Linked DNA regions of Bombyx mori. The protein of the gene in region 1 purifies or fractionates together with the protein of each later gene. This does not show direct contact. Links are inferred from orthologs where the notes say so. Each region holds a gene or a part of one and is shown in the gene's direction. Other genes may lie near its edges.

What was found.
Region 2: the proteins of RNA-binding protein cabeza (region 1) and splicing factor 3A subunit 3 purify together in Homo sapiens (affinity purification with mass spectrometry; 3 studies listed by BioGRID and IntAct, with this or other methods). This does not show direct contact. The link is inferred for Bombyx mori from reciprocal best matches to the Homo sapiens genes FUS and SF3A3.
Region 3: the proteins of RNA-binding protein cabeza (region 1) and cell division cycle 5-like protein purify together in Homo sapiens (affinity purification with mass spectrometry; 4 studies listed by BioGRID and IntAct, with this or other methods). This does not show direct contact. The link is inferred for Bombyx mori from reciprocal best matches to the Homo sapiens genes FUS and CDC5L.
Region 4: the proteins of RNA-binding protein cabeza (region 1) and MLE purify together in Homo sapiens (affinity purification with mass spectrometry; 4 studies listed by BioGRID and IntAct, with this or other methods). This does not show direct contact. The link is inferred for Bombyx mori from reciprocal best matches to the Homo sapiens genes FUS and DHX9.
Region 5: the proteins of RNA-binding protein cabeza (region 1) and RNA polymerase-associated protein CTR9 homolog purify together in Homo sapiens (affinity purification with mass spectrometry; 3 studies listed by BioGRID and IntAct, with this or other methods). This does not show direct contact. The link is inferred for Bombyx mori from reciprocal best matches to the Homo sapiens genes FUS and CTR9.
Region 6: the proteins of RNA-binding protein cabeza (region 1) and heterogeneous nuclear ribonucleoprotein U-like protein 1 purify together in Homo sapiens (affinity purification with mass spectrometry; 3 studies listed by BioGRID and IntAct, with this or other methods). This does not show direct contact. The link is inferred for Bombyx mori from reciprocal best matches to the Homo sapiens genes FUS and HNRNPUL1.
Region 7: the proteins of RNA-binding protein cabeza (region 1) and splicing factor 3A subunit 1 purify together in Homo sapiens (affinity purification with mass spectrometry; 3 studies listed by BioGRID and IntAct, with this or other methods). This does not show direct contact. The link is inferred for Bombyx mori from reciprocal best matches to the Homo sapiens genes FUS and SF3A1.

Annotation. Positions count from the first base shown.
Region 1 is NC_085116.1:7,696,744-7,699,903, forward strand, and holds part of RNA-binding protein cabeza, read left to right. Parts: intron 1-2,022; coding exon 2,023-2,054; intron 2,055-2,915; coding exon 2,916-3,073; intron 3,074-3,160. UniProt on the Homo sapiens protein: DNA/RNA-binding protein that plays a role in various cellular processes such as transcription regulation, RNA splicing, RNA transport, DNA repair and damage response. Binds to ssRNA containing the consensus sequence 5'-AGGUAA-3'.
Region 2 is NC_085112.1:8,798,029-8,802,144, reverse strand, and holds the start of splicing factor 3A subunit 3, read left to right. Parts: upstream 1-1,316; 5' UTR 1,317-1,658; coding exon 1,659-1,754; intron 1,755-4,116. UniProt on the Homo sapiens protein: Component of the 17S U2 SnRNP complex of the spliceosome, a large ribonucleoprotein complex that removes introns from transcribed pre-mRNAs.
Region 3 is NC_085115.1:11,723,283-11,726,343, forward strand, and holds the end of cell division cycle 5-like protein, read left to right. Parts: intron 1-158; coding exon 159-350; intron 351-1,045; coding exon 1,046-1,251; intron 1,252-1,451; exon of another isoform or gene 1,452-1,650; coding exon 1,651-2,103; 3' UTR 2,104-2,561; downstream 2,562-3,061.
Region 4 is NC_085132.1:4,379,863-4,383,830, forward strand, and holds the start of MLE (MLE protein), read left to right. Parts: upstream 1-1,168; 5' UTR 1,169-1,301; coding exon 1,302-1,377; intron 1,378-1,481; coding exon 1,482-1,735; intron 1,736-2,081; coding exon 2,082-2,332; intron 2,333-3,968. UniProt on the Homo sapiens protein: Multifunctional ATP-dependent nucleic acid helicase that unwinds DNA and RNA in a 3' to 5' direction and that plays important roles in many processes, such as DNA replication, transcriptional activation, post-transcriptional RNA regulation, mRNA translation and RNA-mediated gene silencing.
Region 5 is NC_085129.1:3,976,815-3,980,845, forward strand, and holds the start of RNA polymerase-associated protein CTR9 homolog, read left to right. Parts: upstream 1-1,231; 5' UTR 1,232-1,439; coding exon 1,440-1,475; intron 1,476-1,555; coding exon 1,556-1,654; intron 1,655-2,492; coding exon 2,493-2,732; intron 2,733-2,806; coding exon 2,807-3,075; intron 3,076-3,853; coding exon 3,854-4,031. UniProt on the Homo sapiens protein: Component of the PAF1 complex (PAF1C) which has multiple functions during transcription by RNA polymerase II and is implicated in regulation of development and maintenance of embryonic stem cell pluripotency.
Region 6 is NC_085130.1:5,989,306-5,992,805, reverse strand, and holds part of heterogeneous nuclear ribonucleoprotein U-like protein 1, read left to right. Parts: intron 1-280; coding exon 281-411; intron 412-2,407; coding exon 2,408-2,544; intron 2,545-2,769; coding exon 2,770-2,801; intron 2,802-2,980; coding exon 2,981-3,123; intron 3,124-3,500.
Region 7 is NC_085112.1:2,362,209-2,365,708, forward strand, and holds part of splicing factor 3A subunit 1, read left to right. Parts: coding exon of another isoform or gene 1-688; exon of another isoform or gene 689-1,370; coding exon 1,371-1,593; intron 1,594-1,992; coding exon 1,993-2,156; intron 2,157-3,218; coding exon 3,219-3,374; intron 3,375-3,500. Other genes in the region: transmembrane protease serine 3-like, read left to right, coding at 1-688. UniProt on the Homo sapiens protein: Component of the 17S U2 SnRNP complex of the spliceosome, a large ribonucleoprotein complex that removes introns from transcribed pre-mRNAs.

The DNA of each region.
Region 1 (3,160 bases):
GCTCTGATGGAACTGATTAAGATGCAATGTTTAATCAAAAATATGTTATTTTTGCCAATTGCTGAAGAAGCTTCTTATTTAAACCATGTTTTTTTATTGCTTAGATGGGTGAACGAGCTCACAGCCCATCTGGTGTTAAGTGGTTACTGGAGCCCATACACATCCACAACGTAAATGCGCCACCCACCTTGAGATATAAGTTCTAAGGTCTCAAGTATTGTTATAGCGGCTGCCCCACTCTTCAAACTGAAACGCATTACTGCTTCACGGCAGAAATAGGCAGGGTGGTGGTACCCACCCGCGCGGACTTATAAGAGGTCCTACCACCAGTAATTACACAAATTATAATTTTGCGAGTTTGGTTTTTATTAGTTTGATGTTATTTCTTCATGGTGGAAGTCAATCGTGAACATTTGTCGAGTACGTATTTCATTACAAAAATTGCACTGGACGTCTTATCCGTTACGCCACAACGACTTGTATGAAGAATGAAATACCATAGCACTTAGATAACCATGCAGAAAAAAAGTTGTGTTAACATTGCAAAAACTACAATAAAAATACAAAGAATTACCTATCCACTGGTCAGGAAACACCACTACTTTGATATGAACAGAAAACAACGATAAATTTTTCATTACAGTCCTCTCGATCCATTAACAGTGCCTTTAGGTACCTCAAGCACCGGTCACCGTCCTCGCCCAATCCGTCGCTTGTGACGAAGAGCTCGACGAGTAAATTAACCCATAGACACAGCCCACTGAGTTTCTCGCTGTATCTTCTCAGTGGGTCGTGTTTCCGATCCAGTGGTAGGTTCTGCGAAGCACTGCCCTTGCTAAGGCCAGTATTAGCAGCACTCTGGTTTGAGCCCCGTGAGCTCACCTAAACGTCAAGGAGAAGCTGAAATATCCTCTCAAGGCTATCAGCGTAAGGAAGGAAAAAAAAGATAAATTACTTAAGCCTATACTTTCCTTCTTAGTAACAGCCGGCACCTGCCTTCACTTACCATGTGTTTAAAAGGCTATTGATTCTCTGTGTTAGCAGATTTTTACTATGTTATTCATAAAGTTCATAATGTAGTTTTTTTAAATCACAGCTTTATGGTATTAGGTCAGCAAACAAAAGTACTACAACCTGTCTTCATCTGAAGTTTTTGAGTATTCTCCTGTAATCAAAAAGTTTGCCAATTAGCTGGTTTGCCAATTAAGGTATTAATGTTGCATAAATTAAGAATGATTAAATTTATTTCTAAAATGGAAAAATTTCAAGTGCCTATTTTTATAGGCGAAAAATTATTGGAGTTATTTTGATAAGAATTCTTGTGCTTGTGTTGGAAAATTAATGTACTCAGAAGTTAGACCATATAACATACACCTTTTATTAAAAATATACTGAGAAATTGATGTTATAAGTATGGTTTCTGAGAAGCACACATTAAACACCAAGTTTATAAAAATCAAATTTATATTCAAGTAACTAGTATTTTTACTGTTTATGCATTTAAATGAGAATGCCCAATCCAATGACTACAAGATTTCAGATGCTTTTATAGAAATATAACAGTAAAGTAACATATGGGATTGTTACTAGTAAACATACTAAACCAAACAGAATATCGTCTTACAATTCAGTCATACTTCTTAGCAGTCCAACTTCTGAAATGAAAACTGGAAAAATAGCTGAGCAAAAATATATCTTTTAAATATTGTCTCAATGAACTTGGTGAATAATGTTTTATTTCATAATTTGAGTGTTTAAAAATGAAGTAATTAGAACATGTATCTGTATATTGTATCCATAATACTGGTCTGCATGTCTCAAGAAATTGCTGCAATAATTTTGTCTTCAAGCATTGTTCTAAGATTTTCAAGGTATCAAGGTTAAAACATTATGGTAAAGAAAAGGACGCAACTCTTGGACTGAGGTCACTTATAAGTGAACCTAGGTGTGAAACAATCTACGTGCGACATACAGTGTGTCCCTTGCCTGCCTGTGTACTAAATGCTGTCCTTATTGTTTTAGTGGCGGAGGCAGGGGGGGTGGTTTTAACAAAGGTAAAGCACCTCGCATTATGCGAGCGATGCTGTTGTCATATTATTAATTTGTATTTATCTAAGGGGCTGCCAAACATGGTATTCTACTGGTTAACTGGCTCTATAATATAAGTAGGTTTTATCTTATTATATGGTTCAATAAAGAAAAGTTGATCAGGTGTGAAAAACGTCAGCTTGGAAATGTGTATTACGAATTACTAAATAGATTGTAAGGTAAATAATATTTTAGGTAAAATGTGCTATATGTGTTTCACAATAATATCAAGAGTTTATTGAGGATTGTGCTTATATAAGGGAACTTACAGTATATGACAACCTCAAATATGAATATGTAGTGACATATGCTAGCAAGTAATAAAATGAATGATAACTACACAAAACATTTATTTTATCTCTAAGGAGACACCACTATTTATTGTAAGAGGCATAATCTTCAACAGAGTTATAATATTGTGACTGATGATAATTAGGTAGTATGGTTACTTGATTAAAGTGTATTTGACCAGTAATAATGCATATTGTTTTGGCAGCCCTAAAGTTATGGTATAAAGTCATGCAAAGGTTTTGTCATCGACAAAGAAAAATAATATTTTTTAATATTTGTCTATGTTAAGAAGGTATTTAGGACACGTAATTCTAGTGTGTCCAAAGGTAATATTACAAGCGCGAATCCAAATATCATCTATTTTAAGAGGTGAATTGTACATTTTAGAATGACAAGCTAAATAACTTATTCAATTAGATAATTTTAGACTTCATTATTTAAAATTAAATAAATTATGTTGTTTATTTATACAGCAACTAGAATTGTTTATTTACAAGCTATTTATTCCCCCATAATTGAATAAAATTTTCCTTCAGGAGGCGGCGGAAGCGGTGGATATGCCGACCGTGGTGGCGGTGGTGGTGGTGGCGGTGATATGGTAACTCAAGAAGATACTGTCTTCGTTCAGGGAATGAATCCATCTACTACTGAAGAGGAGCTGTGCCAACATTTTGGAGCTATTGGTATAATCAAGGTAATTGAATGGTAAAATATAAATTTGGAAAAATGTTTCATTTTCCTTCTTTTTTGGATGTATGTAAACTATGCTAAATCAAGCATA
Region 2 (4,116 bases), on another chromosome or scaffold:
TTTTTTAACTCCGCATACTTCAGTTCAATGATTGCTACATTTATACCATATCCGTTGTCTACACCAGCGCGATTGTGAGAGGTTTTTGAACTGATTTATAGCATACAGCTGGACACTTTAATTTTTTCTCCCTTATGAGATGATTCTCCTTACCTCTTCCTTCTAGAACCAATATGCATGTCTTTAATGTTGTTCATATTTCCATTCGGAAATTAAAAAAAATATAATAATGATTATATCTCTAGCACTACATAAATGTTTTCATTGTATTTTATGAATGATAGCTTCGCCATGGCATGATGATTTAGATATTGCATTGCGATAAAAGGTATTTTTTATCAAATTATACGTTGTAATATTCTTCCATTTGCTGTTGTAGGCAGCTCATCAAACAACCCACCTGGTGTTGAGTGGCTGTAGTTGCTCATGGACTTCGGAAATGCAGGGACTTCGAAAAAAAAGCCGATGCCTACCGAGTTTTATCAAAGATCTCGAGACTTGTCGCAGTAATCTTATGGTTCAGTAAAACAATAAATAAAAACTAAGTTATATAATTAAGATAAATTATCTTTGTTACTATTAATTCAAACAGCTATCTGGTTTAAAAGACTTAAATCCAGGCCCTTAAAAAAATCCTAGTTGTATCTCTATTAATATCTATGATTTTTAGAACAGACAAGATTGTATGGGTTTAGATCTCTTTGCTTTTCCTAGTAAGGAAAAATTGTACCAAAAAATATCTATGCAGTGTGACCATATGTGGCAGGATCTTGCCATTTTGGCAGGATTGGACTCTTACACCGGTCACTCACATGCGCACGAATACGCAAACCCGCAAGTGTAGGACGACATTTGCAAATGATTATGCAAAGTTTTCGCCACATTCGTGGTTTTCCAAGCTGTGTCGGTTTTTAACAGACATCAAAGCGCGCGAACCGCGAACCTTCGCGTAGTCTCTCACACATTCGTTTGCCCAGTTGCGCCGACGATTGCGAATGTAACGGACGAATCGCCATTTTCATAGTTTTTCACGTCTACTGTGTAGCGTATCTTCATCAAAAGAAATCCCATAAAAACCGCATGGCTGTTAATGATGTCTGGGAAAGAATTCAAAACTCTTTTTCTCTTCAATGTTCTATTGACGAATTAAAAAGGAGGAGAAATTCGTGAGACATTCGTAAACAAGTGTAGGAGGAAGCGCAAACGGGTTCGCAAATTGAGTATGCGAACCCATTTGCACGGCCGCTAGGTTTGCGAATGAATGTTTGACGGCCTTTCACATGCGCGCAAACATTCGTACAATGTACGAATATTTGCGCGCATGTCAGTGGCCGGCATAAGGCAGGATCTATAGTTAAGAGATGGTCACACTGTATCTATGGTTTACGTATACATTTCATACATACTACTTCAATGAATAAAATATATCTAAAAAACGTTGATGATTTGATTCTTCATTATTGTTATTATCTAAAATATTGATTTCAATACTCAGTAACGTAAATTTAGTACAGTTGATTCAACTGAGTTGAAGCATATTTTGTATGCTACCATATATTTTCTCACATAATTTAAACTTCAAAATCATTAATCATTATTTTAATATTATTGTATTTTACAAGGTGATTGACATAAAACAATTTCTATAACCTTTAAAAATGGAAACAATTTTAGAGCAACAACGAAGCTACCATGAGGAAAGGGAAAGAACCATGGACGCAATGGTCAAAGAAATTCTTCACAAAAAAACTGGGGTAAGCCATGTTACATGATCACTGTAGATTGGATTTACCTAAGGGGTGCGGGTGCCTTATTGAGGTTAATAAATTAAAAACAGTTGCTTGATGTTAGCTTATTGAAATACATACACACATGAATACCCCTTCAAAGATTTTTTTGTTTGTACATTAAGGTGAAACTTAGTAACAATCACCTAGTACACCTATTGCACATAGTAATATGGTTACATTTTTTGTTGTATTTATTTTTTAGAAATGAACTAAATGTATTTGTTTAAAATTAAATGTCTAATTCTGATGCATTTAACATTTGAATGAACTGCTGAATGAATGGTACCTTTGTTGTATAAATTCAGGGCTGTTATCGAACAGATGAAACAATTAATAAGTTAGTTTTGTTATGAAACTACTAATTACAACTTAGATTTTTTACATTTTTAATGTGATCTGCATTGTTCCATCTATAACAATGTTTCAGCTTGATTTATTGTTGATTTGGTTTGTCCCATTAGGGACACCTTGTATGGTACTATTAGGCACTACAACTTTGTTAGTTTCTGTCTTGAAGCTATTCTACACACCAGTCAGAACTGAAGCCTCTAGTAGACTCTTATTTTGTGGCATTAATGTCTTAATGTACAAGTAACCATTTAATACTATTTAGGCTGTGGGCTTATGCATTATTTCTTCTTCTTTTTCTCCACCTTATCCCACTATGTGGGGTCGGCACAGCTAATTTTTCTCTTCCATTCTCTTCTATCAGCCGTCATCTCAACACTCACTCCTCTCTCTCTCATATCGTCATTCACACACTCCATCCATGTCTTCTTTGGTCGACCTCTTCCCCCTCTACCTTGCACTACCATTTCCATACATCTCCTAGTCACATGCATCTTCTCTCTACGCATCACATGTCCATACCACGCTAACCGTCCGCTCCTTAATTTGTTGTTTACCGGGGCCACTTTCACACTTCCTCTGATATACTCATTCTTTATCTTATCCATTCTTGTCACTCCACACATCCATCTCAACATTCGCATCTCTGCCGCATGCACTCCTCTTTCATGCTTTGCTTAACTTTCGTCGCCCAACACTCAGATCCATACAGCACGACAGGTCTAATGATCGTTTTGTAAATTTTGCCCTTGAGCTGAAGGGGCATTCTACGATCGCATGCTGTTGCAGAGACCTGTCGCCATTTCATCCAACCAGCGTTTATTCGATTTGCGACGTCCCGGTCTATGTTGCCGTCGTTCTGGAGTATAGAGCCGAGGTACTTGAAGTCGATTGGCGTGAAGTCTGAAGAACCACCAAAATCACAAAACATGTGCTTGGTTTTTGTTCGACAGATCTTCAAACCCACGTTTTCCAACCTTTCTTTCCATTTTGCCAATCTCCTCTGTATCTCAGGCCCTTCCTCTCCAACGAGAACAATGTCGTCGGCGAACAGCATACACCAAGGCGCCTCTTCCTGTATGTCCGATGTTAGGGCATCCATTATTAGGATGAACAGGTAAGGGCTTAAAGCTGATCCCTGGTGTAAGCCTACCGCCACACTGAACTCGTCGCTATTGCCAGCTGCGGAGCGTACGTACGTACTAGCTCTACCGTACATAGCTCGAACAAGCCGTTGGTATTTCCCTGGCACTCCTTTCACTTTCATGCTCCACCACAAAACCTCACGGGGAACCCTATCATACGCTTTTTCTAAATCAACAAATTGCATTATTATGTAATTACATATCATCATTATCCTGCCCTTCTCCCAGTCACCTGGGGTCGGCGCAACATGTTTTCTCCTTCCATACTCTTCTATCATATACCATTTCTTCGCTCACTCCCCTCCTACCCATATCGTCTTTCACACAATCCATCCATTTCTTCTTAGGTCTACCTCTTCCTCTAAATCCTTCCACATTCATAGTTAACACTCTCTTAACAACCTCATTTTCATTCCGTCTCATCACATGTCCATACCATCCCAAACGTGCACTCCTCAGCTTCTCTGTCACAGGTGCCACTTTCAGACTTCCTCTAACATATTCATTCCGTATTCTATCCATTCTCGTTACTCCACACATCCATCGCAACATTCGCATCTCTGCTGCATGCAATCGCCTTTCATCCGCCACTTTCGTTGTCCAACAAGCTGATCCATACAAGACGGCAGGCCTTATTAAGGTCTTATATATCTTCCCTTTTAGGGGAAGAGGGATGTGCGAGTCACATATGGTGCCCGTGACCTGCCGCCATTTCATCCATCCTGCGTCAATTCTGTGCCTCACAGTACGATCCAGTTCACCGTCGCTTTGGATAACAGACCCTAGGTATCGGAAGTCTTGACATACTGGCAAAGGTGTTCCGTCGAGGGAAA
Region 3 (3,061 bases), on another chromosome or scaffold:
TGCTCTTGTAAGAATTATTAACGAACCCATCGCCTATACCTTTGGAAAGTTTTTTTTGCGAGGATTTTTACTTATAAGCCACATATGAAATGTACTCGTCGTTTGAACTTCATTGAACTTAAAAGTCGCTACGACCAACTCGGTTTGATTATCGGCAGGCGCTGCCGAGCTGTCGCGTCGCTCGCTGGCGGTGCAGCGCGGCGCGGCGCGTCCGGCCGACGTCAACGTGTCGGTGCTGCGCGGTGCCGCCTCGCTGTCCGCCCTCACGCCGCTGCAGCACGCCGAGGAACTGCTCAAAGCCGAGATGGTCACCATGCTGCACTACGATGCCCTCAGGGACCCGCCTGAAGGTTTCTTATTTCACACATTCAAACATTTCACTGGTGGTAGGACCTCTTGTGAGTCCGCGCGGATAGGTGCCACCGCCCTGCTTATTTCTGCCGTGAAGCAGTAATGCGTTTCACTTTGAAGGGTGAGGCAGTCGCTGTAACTATACTTGAGACCTTAGTTTATATCTCAAGGTGGGTGGCGCATTTACGTTGTAGATGTCTATGGGCTCCAGTAACCACTTAACACCAGCTGAGCTCGTTCACCCATCTAAGCAATAAATAAATACTTGATTGCCTCGTTGGTGGTTACTGACCAGCTATTGTACCGCCATCACCAGTCTGGTGGCCGTAGCTTTTACAAATATAAATTTGCTCAACGTTTTGAATTTTGTTGCTACAGTATGAACCGTGCTCTCAACATACCTTGTTAACATCAGTATTTTACAAAGACAGAGTGACACAATCAAAAAATCAAGTTAGTTTCGGTAAGCTCTGAAAATGAAGCCCATTTATTACCCTATGTGGCATGAACTGATTGAGGCCATTACTACGGATACGATTAATAATTCGATTTCGTGAATACATAAGCATTTAAATTTTAATATGCGGTAATTCTGTAGCATCGCGTAACCTAACAAAGGTATCGGAATACAGGAATCAAAATTCACCTTAAGAGTGTAAAGACATTCAAATATTAATAGAATTATATTTTTCAGGTGTAGATAAAAAGCGTGCTATTCAACTACAAGCATCCCATTTAGCATACTTAGAACAGCATCCATATGAAGAGTTTGCTGACGAAGAATTAGCTGCCGCTAAAGAAGCACTGAAGAAAGAAATGGAAGTCGTGAAAGCGGGAATGAGTCATGGGGACCTTAGTATAGACGCGTACACTCAAGTCTGGGAGGAATGTTTAGCACAGGTATGAGAATCATAGTATTATTTTTTTTACCCTTTTCGCACAATATTTCAATGCTACCAATTTTTTTTAGTGGCTGACTAAATCAAAGCACCTATTCTTTGGAAGTGTTATGTTACTATTTATTTATTTATTTTATTAGGCTCACAATACACATCACAAGCTAAAGACACATAAATACACAAATAAAAAGAAACAAAATCTGGCTTGCAAATATAATGTAATAATACTTATTATACTAAATATAATGTGAAGTGGTGGTACAGAAGTGGCCGAGATCAAAATGCTTATAATGTTAAATCTATATATAATTTTCCAATAATCCTTTTTACTAACTGAATCGTAGGATTAAAGAAATCAATCAATTAGCACATTACAGTAATTACACACATTTTCCTATAGGTACTTTTTCTACCCGGTCAACATCGTTACACGCGTGCTAATTTGGCAAGCAAGAAGGATCGTTTAGAATCTGCTGAGAAAAGATTAGAGCAGAATAGAAATCACATGGCGAAGGAAGCAAAAAAATGTTCAAAAATGGAAAAGAAACTTCGTGTGCTAACAGGAGGTTACCAGAGTCGTGCCGCAGCTCTCATAAAACAGTTTCAAGAATTACAAGATCAAATAGAACAAGCTAATTTAGAATTATCGACCTTTAAATTCTTGGCTGAACAGGAGAAAGCGGCCATTCCACGTAGAATAGAATCGTTGACCGAAGACGTCAGCCGACAGACTGAACGCGAGAAGCTTTTGCAAAAGCGATACTCAGAACTACAGACCGAGGTAGAAAACATGCAGAAAGGGAAGAAAAGTCAAGTTTCCGAAAATGTTAATTCTCAAAAAACGACTGCATAAAAATGTTCTTGTAAATATTAAAATGGAGTAATGACGCACTAAGTTAAGGAAGATATTATCGTTTGTCCGCAAAATTGTTTCTCATACATTTGAAGCTGCAGTTAAAAGTTTTACCTCTGTATCGACGTATCTGATATTTAGTGCTGATGAATTAATAGTAAAAACTAAACAGTGGATCAAGACTATCTGTAGTATAGTTAATGACAACGTTTCTATTAGAAGATGAGTAACAATAATAAACACTGGAATAATAGGTAGTAGGATTATAACAAAAATATGTAATAAATATCAGGTTTCCATTATAGTTTTTTAAACCTCATTTTTAATGGTTCGACAACACATGTTTACCAGTGTGCGTGTTTATTTTCGCATTAGATCATTAGTCACACTATAATTTAAAAAAAAAACAACGATTATATCTACACAATAAGGTCAGAATAAATCATAAATAAGTAGTATTTTTTGTTTCAATGTAGTTAAATCCATTAGAATGTTAAAGATTTAGTTTATATACTATTTATATAATGGATATAAGAACTCCATACTTTAGATTATTGACATTGCGGAAATTTACCAACATCAATCTTCTTTCGATGGTAAGGTATGTATATTTTTTGCGAGGTTACTCTGTAGTTTTAGTATGGAAGAAAAAACTGGTCACATTTATCTTTACATGTATGTATTACAATATACTATTATTTACAAATGACATAATTCGTAGTACAATATATCTCGATTATAATTGATATTTACAGTTAGATTGATAATTTATATCACAGAACCAAATGTATATACGAATCTACGGATACAAAGATCATCAATTAACAAATTAAATTTAAATTTAATATTGAATTTCTAGTAGGCCATAATATAATTGTTGGCTTGGTTACAAGTGTACGACACTATCCATCAAGATTGGAAACTTGAAATGCATGAAACCATAAATATGTAACACACA
Region 4 (3,968 bases), on another chromosome or scaffold:
TATGGGATTTCTTTTGATGAAGATACGCTACACAGTAGACGTCACGAACTATGAAAATGGCGATACGTCCGTTACATTCGCAATCATCGGCGCAACTGAGCAAGTGAATGTGTGGGAGACTACGCGAAGGTTCGAGGTTCGCGCGGTTTGATGTCTGTTAAAAAACCGACACAGCTTTGAAAACCACGAATGTAGCGAAAACTTTGCATAATCATTTGCAAATGTCGTCCCTCACTTGCGGGTTTCCGTATTCGTGCCACTCACATGCAGTGGCCGGTGTAAGAGGATGGCCCCAGTCATAGATTATACACTTAAGGCCCCAGTATTGTCTAGAAAACAACAAAATTTTTGTTTTTGTTTTTTGTTTTAATTTCTCAAAAAAAAAACAAGAATATCGGTGAAGAAATATTTATTGCTGTGCGGAATGTTAGCAAATATGAACATTATGAGTGATTTAGAACCAGCAGACTTCAAAAATTATCTACAAATGGATTCGATCTGGTTTGACCTAATATTAAACCTTGTGACACCGTTTATTCAAAAGCAGGATACTATCCTACGATATAGGATATATACGTCCTACGATATATACGTCTATTATATATCTATTATATAACTATTACAAATCTAATCCTACGATAGTATAAGTCCAAAAGAAAGATTGGTTGTAACATTAAGATTATACCTAAAGTACCTAATAAAAAGTCTAAAAATGGGACTTTTTGGCGGGAACGCGAGGAGTGAAGTGGTGTGATTTGCTTTATTTTGTCTACTTAGTGTTTCTTCAGGTTTAAATGTTTAATAACGGTGGTTTGTTAACTATTTAGTATCTTTGAAAGTGCACATATGTGGGAAAATAAAACAAAGCCGCTGGACGTAACTTCTCGGGATCTTACAAAAAGTCCACTGAAAAAGTTTCAATAAAAGACCACCATTTTATTGAGATTATATTCATCCTATATCATCTCATTTCATTTCATTTATTTTCATCCCAGATGATTAATGTCTCAAATTAAACATCTTCATTTTATTTTATTACACTCCATGTATCATTTTTCATAAAATTATGAATAAATTAAAATAAGACATGACGTAAAAGTCTTAGTTACCAGGTCATAAAATCCGTTAAAAAAAAAGTTTAAAAATCACATTTTGATTTGACGCCATTGACATTTGTTGTGTGTGGCTGGCCCGAGTTAATTCATTTGGTGCGGCTTTAATTGAGTTTAAGTTTCTACCGCTTTCTACAACTAATCAACATAATAATTTAGAAAGAATATCGCCCAAAGTATCTGCTCAAAATGGATATTAAATCATTTTTATATACTTGGTGTGCTAAGAAAGGCTTAACTCCGCTTTTCGATATCCGGGCCACAGGTACAATTATATTTGAATTATAATGTTTTTAATGATGACTGATTTGTCCAGAATTAACATTATTCAATAATTATTATACATTATCCTGGACTGAATTTATGCAGGTCCTAAACACCGCCAACGCTTTCTGTGCGAAGTCCGCGTCGAAGGATTTTCATATTTAGGAGCTGGAAACTCTACTACCAAAAAAGATGCACAGATGAACGCCGCTAAGGACTTTGTTAGTTATCTAGTTAGAGCGGGGCAAATCCCACAGGCTGATGTTCCTGAAGATGTGAAGGCAAAGGCAATTGAGGAATCTACTAATGAAGAATCTGTCGAGAATAATGGTGGTCAACAACCTAAGCAAGTCTTTCAGGTGATGTTTTAATCAAAAGTTTCCTTGTGTTTAATTATTTGAACTTATTGTATTCATTTTTATAATTGTGGAGGCAAACTACACCAAAAAGAAATAATTCCTCAATAACAATAATAGCAAATGTATGATTAAGACCATGAGTAAAATGACTTATTGAATGTTTCATAGGTTTCAGTGGTGTTTAAATAAATATTGGTTTATAGCTTCGATAATCATTCTGTTACAAGGTAGACTGTAACTTGAGAAAATTAAGAGATTTAAGTATCTAACTAGCTTGAGAAAACTACATAATTTCTTATGGGAGTGATTACAAATGGTAGAAAATGAAAACTAATTCACATTTCAGGATGGAATGGGTCCAGAAGTTATAGGACCAGCGTACCAAGCTTATGGAGGTGAAAATGACAAGAAATTTTCATACATAGATCGCATGCAACAACAGAAAAATGTTGAAGAAGCTGAAGATCTGGACATAAACTCCAGTCTCCATGGCAACTGGACAATGGAGAATGCTAAGTCAAAACTTCATCAGTTTTTACAGATGAATAAAATAAATGCAGACTATGTTTACAAAGCAGTTGGACCTGATCATACACGGTTTGTATAAGATATCTAATAAAAGTGTAATCATTAATTTCAAAGCATTTGTATTGTACCAAATGCTGGTTTAATAAAAACCTATCTCCAACAAAAGTCTAATTAGCAGTGGTTGTTATGATAGTATTAGTTTTAATTGCATAGGCTATACAGTTAAAAGTATGCCATAGAAGACAATGTGCTTATTACCATACAAACTGTAAAGCATTCAAAATGTATGAAATAATATGACACTAAAAATTGCTATGGCCGGTTGTGAGCGGCAGGAGTTTTTAGTGAGGTTCAACTCCCACATACCCCACCTGCCGCGCGGGTGGGGATCCGGCGATTTTCTCCTGTGGAAAAAAAATGCTAAGCCATAATAAAAGTAGTTTTATAAAGGTAACCTATAAAGTTTATAGTTTTATAAAGGTAAGGTTTGAAAGATAAATGTTTTGTATTTATCTTTCAAAATTGATTAACAATTTGAATAAGATTAGCAGGATATAACTATAATAGGACAACTATTCCTAATGTTATGCACTAAATGCAATAACATTAGGAATAGAATGTGGTCCCAGTTATACTGAATCTGTGATCAATGTATGTTGATTTATAAAATATCTTGATATGAAAATTATTTCCAATGTTGTGTTGGACTGACAATGAAGAATGATTCATATCCATAAAGATTCAAGAATCCATAATTTCAGGATTTCAGGTTGTAATTATAATATCTGAGTTTAAACAGAAAAATAGAGTTAATGCACATTGTCATCTTAGTTAGTCTACATCCTATACAAAGATTGAAAACAGCATATAACAGCATCTTCAGATTTGAACAAGCACATGAATAATTATTGAAAGGATTTATTCCCATTGTAGTTAGATCATATAGCACACTTGATAGTAAGTAATCAACATCACTCATGGACATTAGCAATGCCTGGGTCATAGCTTAGTCTAGCCTACAGCTGGAGTATGAGTATATTACTGTGTATATAGTGCTGTACTATAAGGTCCTGAAGTTTATAGTACAGCACTTTCATTTGTCACATGAAGGCTTTCTGATATAGGTAAATTTTGGACACTTTCAGCTCGGTGCCAAACTCTTATATTCCTTGATTATATTTCTGTATCAGTTATTCAGATAAGTAATTAGTCACATTCAAATATGTTAATCACACAGGTGTCAGACAATAAGAATGTGAAATATCTGATACAGAAATCTAGTCATTGAATGCAGAATGTGAACCTGGCTTAATGTGTCCAATATCTACATCAGAAAGCCAGTCTATCTCTGAGCAGCTGTGCATTCAGGTCGATGTGATATTCAAATGTAAAACTAAAGCCTCAGTACGATGTTAAATGATTAAGTATTTAACGTAAAAGGATAAATTTTCATCATATTTTTAATATGTTAACATATCTGTATAATATGATTGAAATATTCTTGTCTTGTTTGCACTTTATTCTACCTTTATACTTTATTCTTTATCATCAAGCTTTTGATTTTTGTTAGAAAACATATAAGTAGTTGCACACATCACATCTGTTTTTATTCTTGCATACTAGTTTATATCATCAATATTTTATACTGCCACTGGTTATTCATAAAGATTGAAAAATCATTGGCAAGAATGTTTGTTTGTTACAA
Region 5 (4,031 bases), on another chromosome or scaffold:
TGTACTGGTTGACTGGAGGGAAATCCCAGCTTTCGCCAACAAGTAAAATTTTAATTTACAAAACCATCTTAAAGCCAATATGGACATATGGCATACAGCTTTGGGGAACTGCCAGCAATAGCAACGTCGAGATCCTGGAAAGGTTTCAAAATAAAACTTTCAGAACAATGCTAAGAATACCGCATTACATAAGCAACAAGATCATACAAATGGACCTAAATATTCCCACAGTGAAAGAGGAAATAGTAGCTTACAGCAAAAAATATCAAGCCAGGTTATCGACACACGTCAATAAATTGGCGTCGGACCTAGGAGGCACAGGAGCTGTGCAGTTTACTAGATTAAGGAGGCACAGTATACCTACCTTACACAACAGAAATTAAATCTAACAATAAAAGATGAAGGTGTCACTGGATATCTGATTCTGTTTATAAATCTATTAAGAATAAATTCAGCCAGAGGAATAGCTCATTGTTAACTGAAAAACAGATCGCTACGAGACATTAAAACATAAGAGAAAAAAAAAAAAATTAATTAGAGAAGTTAATATTACGACGGATGCGATGCTATATAAAAAAAAAATTAAAAAAGTTAATCAAAAGAAAATCAATTTAATATGTATAATGTGTGTAGCGCCAATAGATATGCTGTACTTGACTTTTGATTTTCTTTTGGACTTGAGGACTGTATTCTGTTAAATTAAAAGATGTTTATTTTTTGAGATACCAGTTGGCATGTGTATTCTGAATTAGCAATTTTACAGTTTTATATGATGATGGGGTCAGGGAACAATATTTTTATCCAATAGCAACCGCACACGTTCCTAGCGTGATAGCGTCACACACAGCTCGATTATAATTGGTCGCGAAAATTTATACAATAATACCAATATAATAATACTAATGACAAAATACAGATACGATAATTTCACGGATCGAGATCCTCAGCATTGCAGATGCGTGAACAATGTCTAATGTACAAACTAATAAAACTGAAAAAAAAGATCTTCCGAGAACTAGCTTAGGCTAATATAAAAGTTAAAGACAGGTTTGTGTAAGTGAGAGAGATTTAAAGTGAGTGATATATGTATACTGAGCTAAATGATCAAGATGAAAAAATAAATTAATTGACAGACCAATCAATTGAATTGGATCACTGAGCTAGTGATCTAAATGGGCTAGTGAGCTAGATGAGTGATATATATCTTTAGAGTAAAATGATATATGTTCTATGATTATACTAATCTGTGCTCAACAGGATTATGTTGTAATATGTTGGCCTAAAGGTCTAGAAACCAGGCCACAAACTCCAAAAAAAAAAAAAAATTTTTAGTATGTTGTACATACACAAAAAACGCGATAAATATACGTTTTGGTAAATTTTAGTTAGCAAACTAGTGAATTTTGTATAATGAAGTAATTAAAAATAAAAAAATCAAGATGTCGCTGGAAATACCTTTAATGAGCACCGACGAGGTGAAATAAAAACTCTAATTCAGTTTGGCGTTTAAAAAGTGTTCGTGTAACATTTTTATATTAATATTTGATTTCTTTAGGTGATTGACCTGGATCCAGAACAATTACCTTCCGGCGATGAGGTGCTCAGTATTTTACAACAAGAACGCTCACAACTCAATGTTTGGATTAATGTTGCAGTGAGTTAACCTAACCTCGATATTATTCTATTATGGGAAAATAATCATAGCAGACGAAAAAAATTAAAACTTTATACCAATCACAACGTTGCAAATACATGAACTAATATAAAATGCAAGAAAATCTTTAATTAAAAAAGGTTTTTCAACTGTAAATGATCATTTAACAATTAGTTGAGTAAATATGTTTACAAAGAACTTTCACAAATTACTTTACCTTAAACTTATAATGTCAGTTTTAAATATAAACATTAACTGCAATTTTCTTCGTTCTTTTAGACTTACATCAAAATATGTTAAATATACAATCATAAAATAATTTCACACTTATGATACATAATTCGGAGTACACATTTTCATTATTTTTATTGCCTACAATTATCGTAATGGGGGTGTTAGATATTATGAAGCAAACACTGCCAACATGCTGACATGTGTGTCAGCAGTGTAAATGTCACAAAAAATTTGAAAGTATGACTACGTCATGGGAATAGGCAGCTTTGTGGTATCTTATGGGTAGACAATGCACCCTATGAATATATGAATAAATATGCAAATTCATAAAAATTATGGTTATCATATTAATAATTTTATTACACAATATAATTTCTTCGATATGTATTTGTATACATACATCAGGTGGAATTTGATATGATCTAATGTAGTTTGTTGTGGTTGAAATTAATAAAATAAATAATAAAAAGGAATTTGTACAATTTGAGTTTCGGGACATTCATATTTATTATTAACCTGTTATATAATAAGAAACAGTTGCTCTGCATCTTAAGTGTGACTGACTTTATGCTCCAGTTAAAAGTTTTCAACTTTTTATGTTTAGCTCGCATATTACAAACAAAAGAAAATCGATGACTTCCTCAAGATCCTGGAAGCATCACGTACAGATGCCAACATTGACTATCGGGATTTCGAAAGAGATCAGATGCGGGCTCTCGACATGTTGGCCGCATACTATGTGCAAGAAGCTAACAAAGAGAAGTCAAAAGATAAGAAAAAAGAACTATTTACAAAGGCAACATTATTGTACACTATGGCGGATAAAATTATTATGTATGATCAGGCAAGTGAAAAATAATGCATCAGTTAATCATTGCTAATTGTCGCTTTATTTTCTAATAATGTGAAATGTTCCAGAACCATCTTCTTGGTAGAGCATATTTCTGCTTATTGGAAGGTGACAAAATGGAACAGGCTGATGCTCAGTTCAACTTTGTCCTAAATCAATCCCCAAATAATGTGCCTTCATTGCTCGGTAAAGCTTGCATAGCTTTCAATCGTAAAGATTACAGAGGGGCACTTGCTTTTTATAAGAAAGCACTTAGAACAAATCCAGACAGCCCAGCCGCTTTGAGACTGGGTATGGGACATTGTTTTATGAAGCTGAATAATCAGGAGAAAGCCAGGTATCTATATCGTAATAATTATGGCTTGTCTGCAAATTCTGATTTTGGATACTGGAGGTCCTGGTCCATTACTGCTATTAAGAAACTGTTTCAGTTTGAATAGCAGAGTAACTTAATCCTTTGCACTTGAGATTTCGAAGTATTTGTTTATGTGTAACTTGTGATCCCATTCATGTCAAATATGTTAATTCACCAGCTTGGGCTTTTAGACATATTTGCATATCAATAGAAAACTGTGAATAAGCTTTAAACAAAAGTTTCAAATCCAATCATTTCCATTAAAAGTTAAAGAAATACCAAAGTGAAAAACAGAAAAAGTCCCTCCCTATGGCATATTGCAATGAGTATTTGGACATATAACCCAAGCAGGCGGTATGTCGTAAACTTATGTTGTGTCATGACATATCAACGCCCAATGCCGCATGATAAGCGGTCATGCCGTCCCAACCTGACATATATGGTATAAGAGGAAAAAGAAGTGTAATTTTGATCAAAAGTCATACAGTATATCTGTTGTAGTGTTTACTGGAGCCCATATCTTAAGACATGAGATTGAAATCTCTATTATATTGTATGAACAAAACTAGGGGTACTACATTGCATACAAAAAAAAAGAAGTACACACACATATATATATATATATATATATATAGTTTTAAAGCATTGTAGAAATGGTGACCTCTTGTAAAGCGCACCACCACCCCAAATGATGACCACGACCACTCTGTCAAGAGTGCAAAAGACTGAGAAGAAGAAATAATAAATATATTTATTGCAGGATGGCCTTTGAAAGAGCTTTACAATTAGATCCACAATGTGTAGGTGCTTTAGTGGGACTTTCCATTTTAAAATTAAATCTGCAGGAGAGTGAATCAAACAAAATAGCAGTTATTATGTTGTCTAAAGCCTATGCTATTGACCCAAAAAATCCTATGGTTCTAAATCATTTGGCCAAT
Region 6 (3,500 bases), on another chromosome or scaffold:
GGTCGCGTTTCCGATCCGGTGGTAGATTCTGCGAAGTACGGCTCTTGCTAGGGTTCGTGTTAGCAACGTCATCAGGTTTGAGCCCCGTGAGCTCACCTACAAAAGTTAGGGTTACGCTGAAATAGCCTCTCAAGGCTCTCAGCTTAGGTAGGGAAAGAAAAAAAAACCCTAAATATTGGTTCAATTAATATTTAGAAGATTATAGAAATGAATTAATTGTTTTCTTTTGATAGATTTTGTTGATCAACAATGAAAATTAAATAAAAGCGTTATTTTGCAGCACTACCAGACAATTCAATATTAGATACCAGTACTGAAGAGACTGATGATCCAGGAACACCGCGTCGGCCGGCATCAAGAACCACTCGACGTTCCTCGTCTACTTCGAAACTAGCAGCCACACCAGCAAAGGTAAAGTAAAAGCATAATATCGAGACGAGAAAGGCTATTCGGTTTAAGCGACATTTTTGCATTTTTATTTTTTTATTGCTTACATGGTTGGACGAGCTCACAGCCCACCCGGTGTTATGTGGTTACTGGAGCCCATAGACATCTACAAACGTAAATGCGCCACCCACGTTGAGATATAAGTTCTAAGGTCTCAAGTATAGTTACAACGGCTGCCCCACCTTTCAAACCGAAACGCATTACTGCTTCATGGCAGAAATAGGCGGGGTAGTGATACCTACCCGTGCGGACTGACTCACAAGAGGTCCTACCACAAGTATTAGAGTAAGTAAGAGTAGTAAGAGAGCCATTAAAGATATAAATAAAATTTGGAAAAAATATAATAAGAAAAAATTTAGCTATTTCAATGGAGTAAACTTAACTGAAGTTCAATTAAAAACATCGAACTGTTGATGTTAATATCAATTAAAACGCATCTTTAATTACAAAGATAAATGTCGCTTAAACCAAATAGCCTTTCTGTCATCCCTCGATATGTTCATTAAAAATTATGTCGTACTGTAAAGAGACCATTCTTGCAAAACAGATGGAATAGGATAATAACCAACTGTGAAAGTTAAATATTTATCAATTACTGAGACAAAAAATAACAAGCACTAAGAAAAGTTAATAACAATGTTGACAGTGTTTATACATCACCAATAAAAATGCAAGGTCATACAAAAATTAGAATTATTAAGTGTCTGCAATAATGTAAGTCAAGTCAAGTAATGGTTGAACACTCCCTGCCTGATTTTCTAATCTAAGATAATAAGGACTAGGGTTTTAAACTGTAATAGCGTTTTTCTTGTTATTGATTTATTTTTCCTCAGTAACAACGTACCGTAAAAATAGCGATAAATTTACTGATAAAGCTAAGGCGTACCGTGTTTTGTGTTTGAATAACTGGTTCCATTATACACGATAACCTTTTTCCGAAGTGTACATATTGAAAAACGGAGTTTATTCAAATGGTTAGTTTTTCTTATGAATGTTGCAAATCATATGAAAAAAAAAAATAATTTCAAAACAGTGCTCTTAATGTTACGAATCCTAGATTTTTATTCAAATAGGAAAGGCAGGCTTTGCTCTTTGAAGTTTGAAAAAAAAATCAGGTTTATAGTTTATTGCATTTTTTTTTCATCATTTTTCATTCATCATACGGCCCACCTGATGGTGAGTGGTTACCGTCGCCTATGGACTTCAGCAATGCCAGGGGCAGAGCCAAGCCGCTGCCTACCGCATATCATTATTTCAAATTTGCTAGTGCTTGTAGAGTTTCATATTATTCAGATGTATGTAATTTAAGGTTATATGATCGAAAATGATAATAAACTGTGATAATACCGTTATTACGACCTTATTTCCCTATTTAGTCTCACCCCTAATCTCATAAATTCCTACTGATCAGCACTCATGGATTCGTAACAATACACAGTCGAATGTGCGTTCCGTTTTAATCCTATACGCTACACGGCGATAGCGCTTCTATGCACGGTACTGAAAATTGCGATGTAGAGTTATCGCACACCCACTTCGATTAAATTTACGATTTTGAGTGTGTGCACATTTTTTTACTTGTTCGTATTATTGCTATTAATAAAGTTTTTATATAAAAAAACAGCATTATTACACCAAAAAAACGGAATTAAAATACTCAAAATAATTACATCACATATTAAAAAAAAAAATCAGCACCAAAAGACTTTACTGGTCGCAAGTGTGTAGCTCTAATAATCGATTATCAGGTTGGCTGTGAGCCTGTACGCACTTCGATTGTAGTAAAAAAAGCAATAAGTAAACACGTTTTAATGTTTCAGCAAAGGTTGCAAAACATTGTGTCTAATAGGAAGGATTACTAAAAATAAATATAACTACCGTATGACGTTACCTGTATTGTATCATTTATTTATTCAATTAATTGTTAATGTAGTTTTTATTGTTGTATTATTGAAAATAGCCTGCAGACCCACCTGAGCCCATTCCGGAAGAAACTCGCAGTGACGGTGATGACCGCTACTCACCAAGCCTTGAGGAAGAATCAACTGAATCTCAACCAACTAAAGATGAACAGCTCGCAAAAGAGCCTAATAACAGGTAAGCTCGACAGGTTAATAGGTCAACAAATGCAGATGACATTGACAATACCACCCACACCCCAGCCTAACTCTGACCCTTAAATATCACCTTTGTATAATATTTTTTGTAATTTTTTTCTTAGTTCTATAAACCGATTCATTACTTTATTAAAAAACATACCTGTGAAAGAATTAAAGAGGAAACAAGTCTTATTTAATTTTATTTATTTCTTTACTTTTTCAGAAATGAATCAGATGAACAGGAGGATGACAAAGGTAAGCTTTTATTAATTAATAGAAAATAAATTTACCAGAAAATTCCCCCTTTTTTTTTTGTTTGACGTACAACAATGTAGGTTGGAGTCGTTATCAATATTTCATGTATAAATTAAATTAATGAGAACCATGTATTTTTTTTATCCTACTATATTAAACTTGTGCAAATTATATAAAAGCAATGGACACGCAAGAATCTACGGGTCCAGATGACGCAAAGAAACATACCGCTGAAACTATGGAGCATGACGGTGATGACACTGAAGCCAAAAAACAGAAGAATGAAGAAAGCAAAGAAGATAAAACAGAGAAAAATAAAGAGGTAAGCAATCCAATGATGTTATGATGGCTATTTTGGTTAATAATTTTTACAAATACAATATACAATACACAGGGATAAGCTCTCAAAGTAGGTAGTTATTATTTAATTCTAATTGTTTTAGTGTAAGGTTTAGCTATTATTTATTCAAATCAGATTGACTGAATTGGTGAGGTTGATGATGCTATATAGTATTTACCACATTGTACTGTAAATACAATTGTAATAGAATTTTAATTAATGTGAAAATAAGTTTAAGAAACTGAAACCTTCAAACGCAATTTGTAAGCTCTCATGCTCAATGCCTTCTTTTTGGTTTCACTTACACATGGTATTCGCTTGTAAGGTTGGGTTTGTAAAGCACTCTTTAATTTAGATCA
Region 7 (3,500 bases), on another chromosome or scaffold:
TGAGTACCCGTACGTTGTGACGGTCGAGTTAAAACTCACGAATACTACGACGAACGCTCTGCTGTGCTCGGGGTGCGTGCTGACCCCGACCTGGACCCTGACCACCGCGCGCTGCGTCTCCAAAACCGAAGACTTGCTAATCCAGGATCCGAAGATGTCATGGGTGGTGTACTATGGACTCACGCAGAAACCTTCCCAGGACACCGCCATCGCGATCCTTTCCGGAATAGTCCACCCCAGATATGCCGCGTCACCGAGAATGCTTCACAACGACATCGGCCTTCTGCGCACCGATCCCATCACCCTTAAACAGTTCGCCAAATTGAGCGCCGTTGACATGTTCTCTATGAACGGTTACGAAGTTGAGCTAATAGGCTTCAAGTCGACCAATGATACCAGTGGAAAATTGAAGAGAACTCTACAGATTTCATCGGTTGTGGTGAAGACTTGTGAAGGCACCGTTACTTATCCGGGGATGTGTTTGGCTCGGTCCTGCTCGTTGACCGACGCTTGTCACCAGGAAACTGGAGGTATAGCCATCCACAGCACCGGGGTCATAGCACTCCTGGCCAGTGGACGCAAGAGGGACTGCTTGGAGAACAATGAGAGACAGCAGGCCTATCAAATTGAGACAATGACTTCAATTGTGCCATATATAGATTGGATTCATACTCATATCAAGAGCTAATAGTAGCTAGTGTAAGATTGGTGTCAGAAGCTTCAGTGAACGGATGAAATTTGTATTGTTTTCTCAATAAAAGTGTTTGTTTATGAGCTTTATTTGTATTTAGCTTTTAAAAGCAATTAAAAATGCTCAGTTAACTTGATGATTACCCGCCTTTAGTTAAGCCTGCTCACTAAAGTATTGATATTTTACACTGACTAACTTTGTACGCTTCGGGCTTGTGTTGGATCAATGTTTTATCTTCTCGTTATTTTACTTGCTTAGCTTATACTGTTGTGTATGCACAAATGAAAGATTCCAAAGCAGACTGGTTTATTTTTGCATCTACCCGCCATTTTATAATGCGATTTAATATCTATACATAACACTTGTAATAAAGGGAGGTGGCGGAATTCATGGAATTCATTTGGTGAACTATATCTGATGTTTATAGGTTCCGTGAAGCTGTTGACCTGGAGTTGGCCATTAGTTTGTTCAAATAATTGTTCCATGCTCTCTGCGACATACGCCTTAGTAACTTCTTACTGCATTTCCAAATAGTAAGGAAATTGTATAATGGTAAACATGACGTAATAGCTTAGGTTATTTGAAGATACACTTTTTTAACGAGCATAATAAGAAATACTATTGCAACATTCTCTTCGAAACTCGTTTAAGATACTCATTACGATTGATTACAATTCAGGTTAAAGGTCTACTCCCCGACGAGGAGAAAGAGAAAATAGGTCCGAAGCCAGTGACCGGGGCAGCCCAGAGCCGGGCGGGGCGTCCCCCCGCGCCCCCCTCTGCCCCCCGCGCTGCTCCGCCTCCCCCGCCCCCGGCACCGCCTGTGCTGCTGCAGCCGATGTCCTCGCTAATGGTCCTGCCCCCCATGGCGCCCCGACCTCCGCTCATACCGGCTCCAGTGGGTACGTATACTCGAACACTGCACACATTCCGTACAACATGGCGCTAAGATCGCGTGCCTGATTTACTGGTGCCGGACAATGTACATGTAGTCTTAGGGAGTTAAGCTACAGATTAGAGGAAGAGTTGATGGAATGATAGAGTAAAGTGACATCTGAATGTGATCGCTGTGAGGGGATCATATGGTCAAAGTGTTCTGTGCAGGGGACCGACCCATCGTGGGTCGGTGAGTATCGGCTTCGGTCTGTGCACCCACGGTGTGTTGGACCCCACCTAACGCCAGTTGAGCTGTAGATTCGCGTGCCAGTAATGCATGCAACTATCCAAATATTGTGTGTGCTTCTTGCATAACACATCCGCTCAGTACATTTTGTACCAATAATGTGATTGCATCGCCTTAGGTGCAGTACCACCGCCGGCGTTCAACTTCGGAGCGGTAGTCCCTCCGGGCACAGTGGCGGAGCCCGAGGACGAGGGCCCGGCCGCTAAGAGAGCCCGCACCGAGGACGCGCTGGAGCCCGAGGGCGCCTGGCTCGCGCGCCACCCCGGCGCAGTCCCCCTGCAGGTGGGCTACCAGTAACACTACAATGATTGCTCTTACGCTAACAAACATTACAACTACAAACAAATAGAAAATCGGTCCAGTGTTTTTTTATTTTTTTTTATTGCTCAGAGGGGTGGACGAGCTTACAGCCGACCTGATGTTAAGTGGTTACTGAAGCCCATATACATCTACAACGTAAATGCGCCACCCACCTTGAGATATAAGTTCTAAGGTCTAAGTATAGTTACAACGGCTGCCCCACCCTTCAAACCGAAACGCATTACTGCTTCACGGCAGAAATAGGCACGGTGGTGGTACCCACCCGCGCGTATTATTAATATACCCCCAATATTAATATGTAGACAGAAGTGCTCTAATTTAATACGGTTTTATTAGCTTCATACGTATGTTAGTAAGTAACGGAATCTTTGAACATGATTTTGACCCCCTTCAAAACGTCAGATTGATTCGAAATTTGGCATACTTATTAAGGACCGATTAAAATTCAATATTTTAAACAATTAGACTCGTTATCCTTACTAGGATAATCAGGAATAGCGATTTTTTGTTTTCCTGAGACCCTGAGTGTCTGCGTCAAAACCAAGATGGGAAACCACCAGGCCCGCTGATTACCTATTTCTCGGATAAGTTACCGACTGTATCAGATGAAAGTTTTGAAATATTGAAAAAAAAAATTAATAAATTAAAATTCAACTAAAAAAATAGAAAATAAATTTTAATTAAAAATAGTCTAAGAAAAAATTATATTATTGTAAAAAAATCGTGGGGCGCACTGTATCAATAGTTATAAATATTTTATGAACAGATATGAGTAGAAGGGCTATTTTGATAATATACTGAAAAGCACCCGTACCTCCTACGAGGTCTCCGCGCTTAGGAGGCGCGCGGGGTAGGTACGTGGGACTGGTCCGCGACTGCGAGACTGCGGGCCCAAGGATGTTTTCAGGGCCCTAGAGTGGTGGTACCTACCCGTGCGGACTCACAAGACGTCCTACCACCAGGAATGCATTATGTTAATTGTATGATATTGTACCCTAATGCCCTTGTCCCTTGTGTCGGCAGGTGTCGTTGCCGGCGGCGCCTGAGCGCGCGGAGTGGCGGCTGGACGGGCGCGCGGTGCCGCTGACGCTGCCGCTGTCGGCCGCCGTCGCCGAGCTCAAGGCCATGCTGCAGCGCGCCACCAACATGCCCACCGCCAAGCAGAAGCTGCACTACGAGGTATCCCGACACGCTCAAATACTCGCATAGCTCACCGTAACAAATGATTAGCCATATTTTTTCCCCGGTTTTGACAGACCATATTAGCGTCAGGCGAATAGGTGAGCTCATGGGGCTCAAATCTGA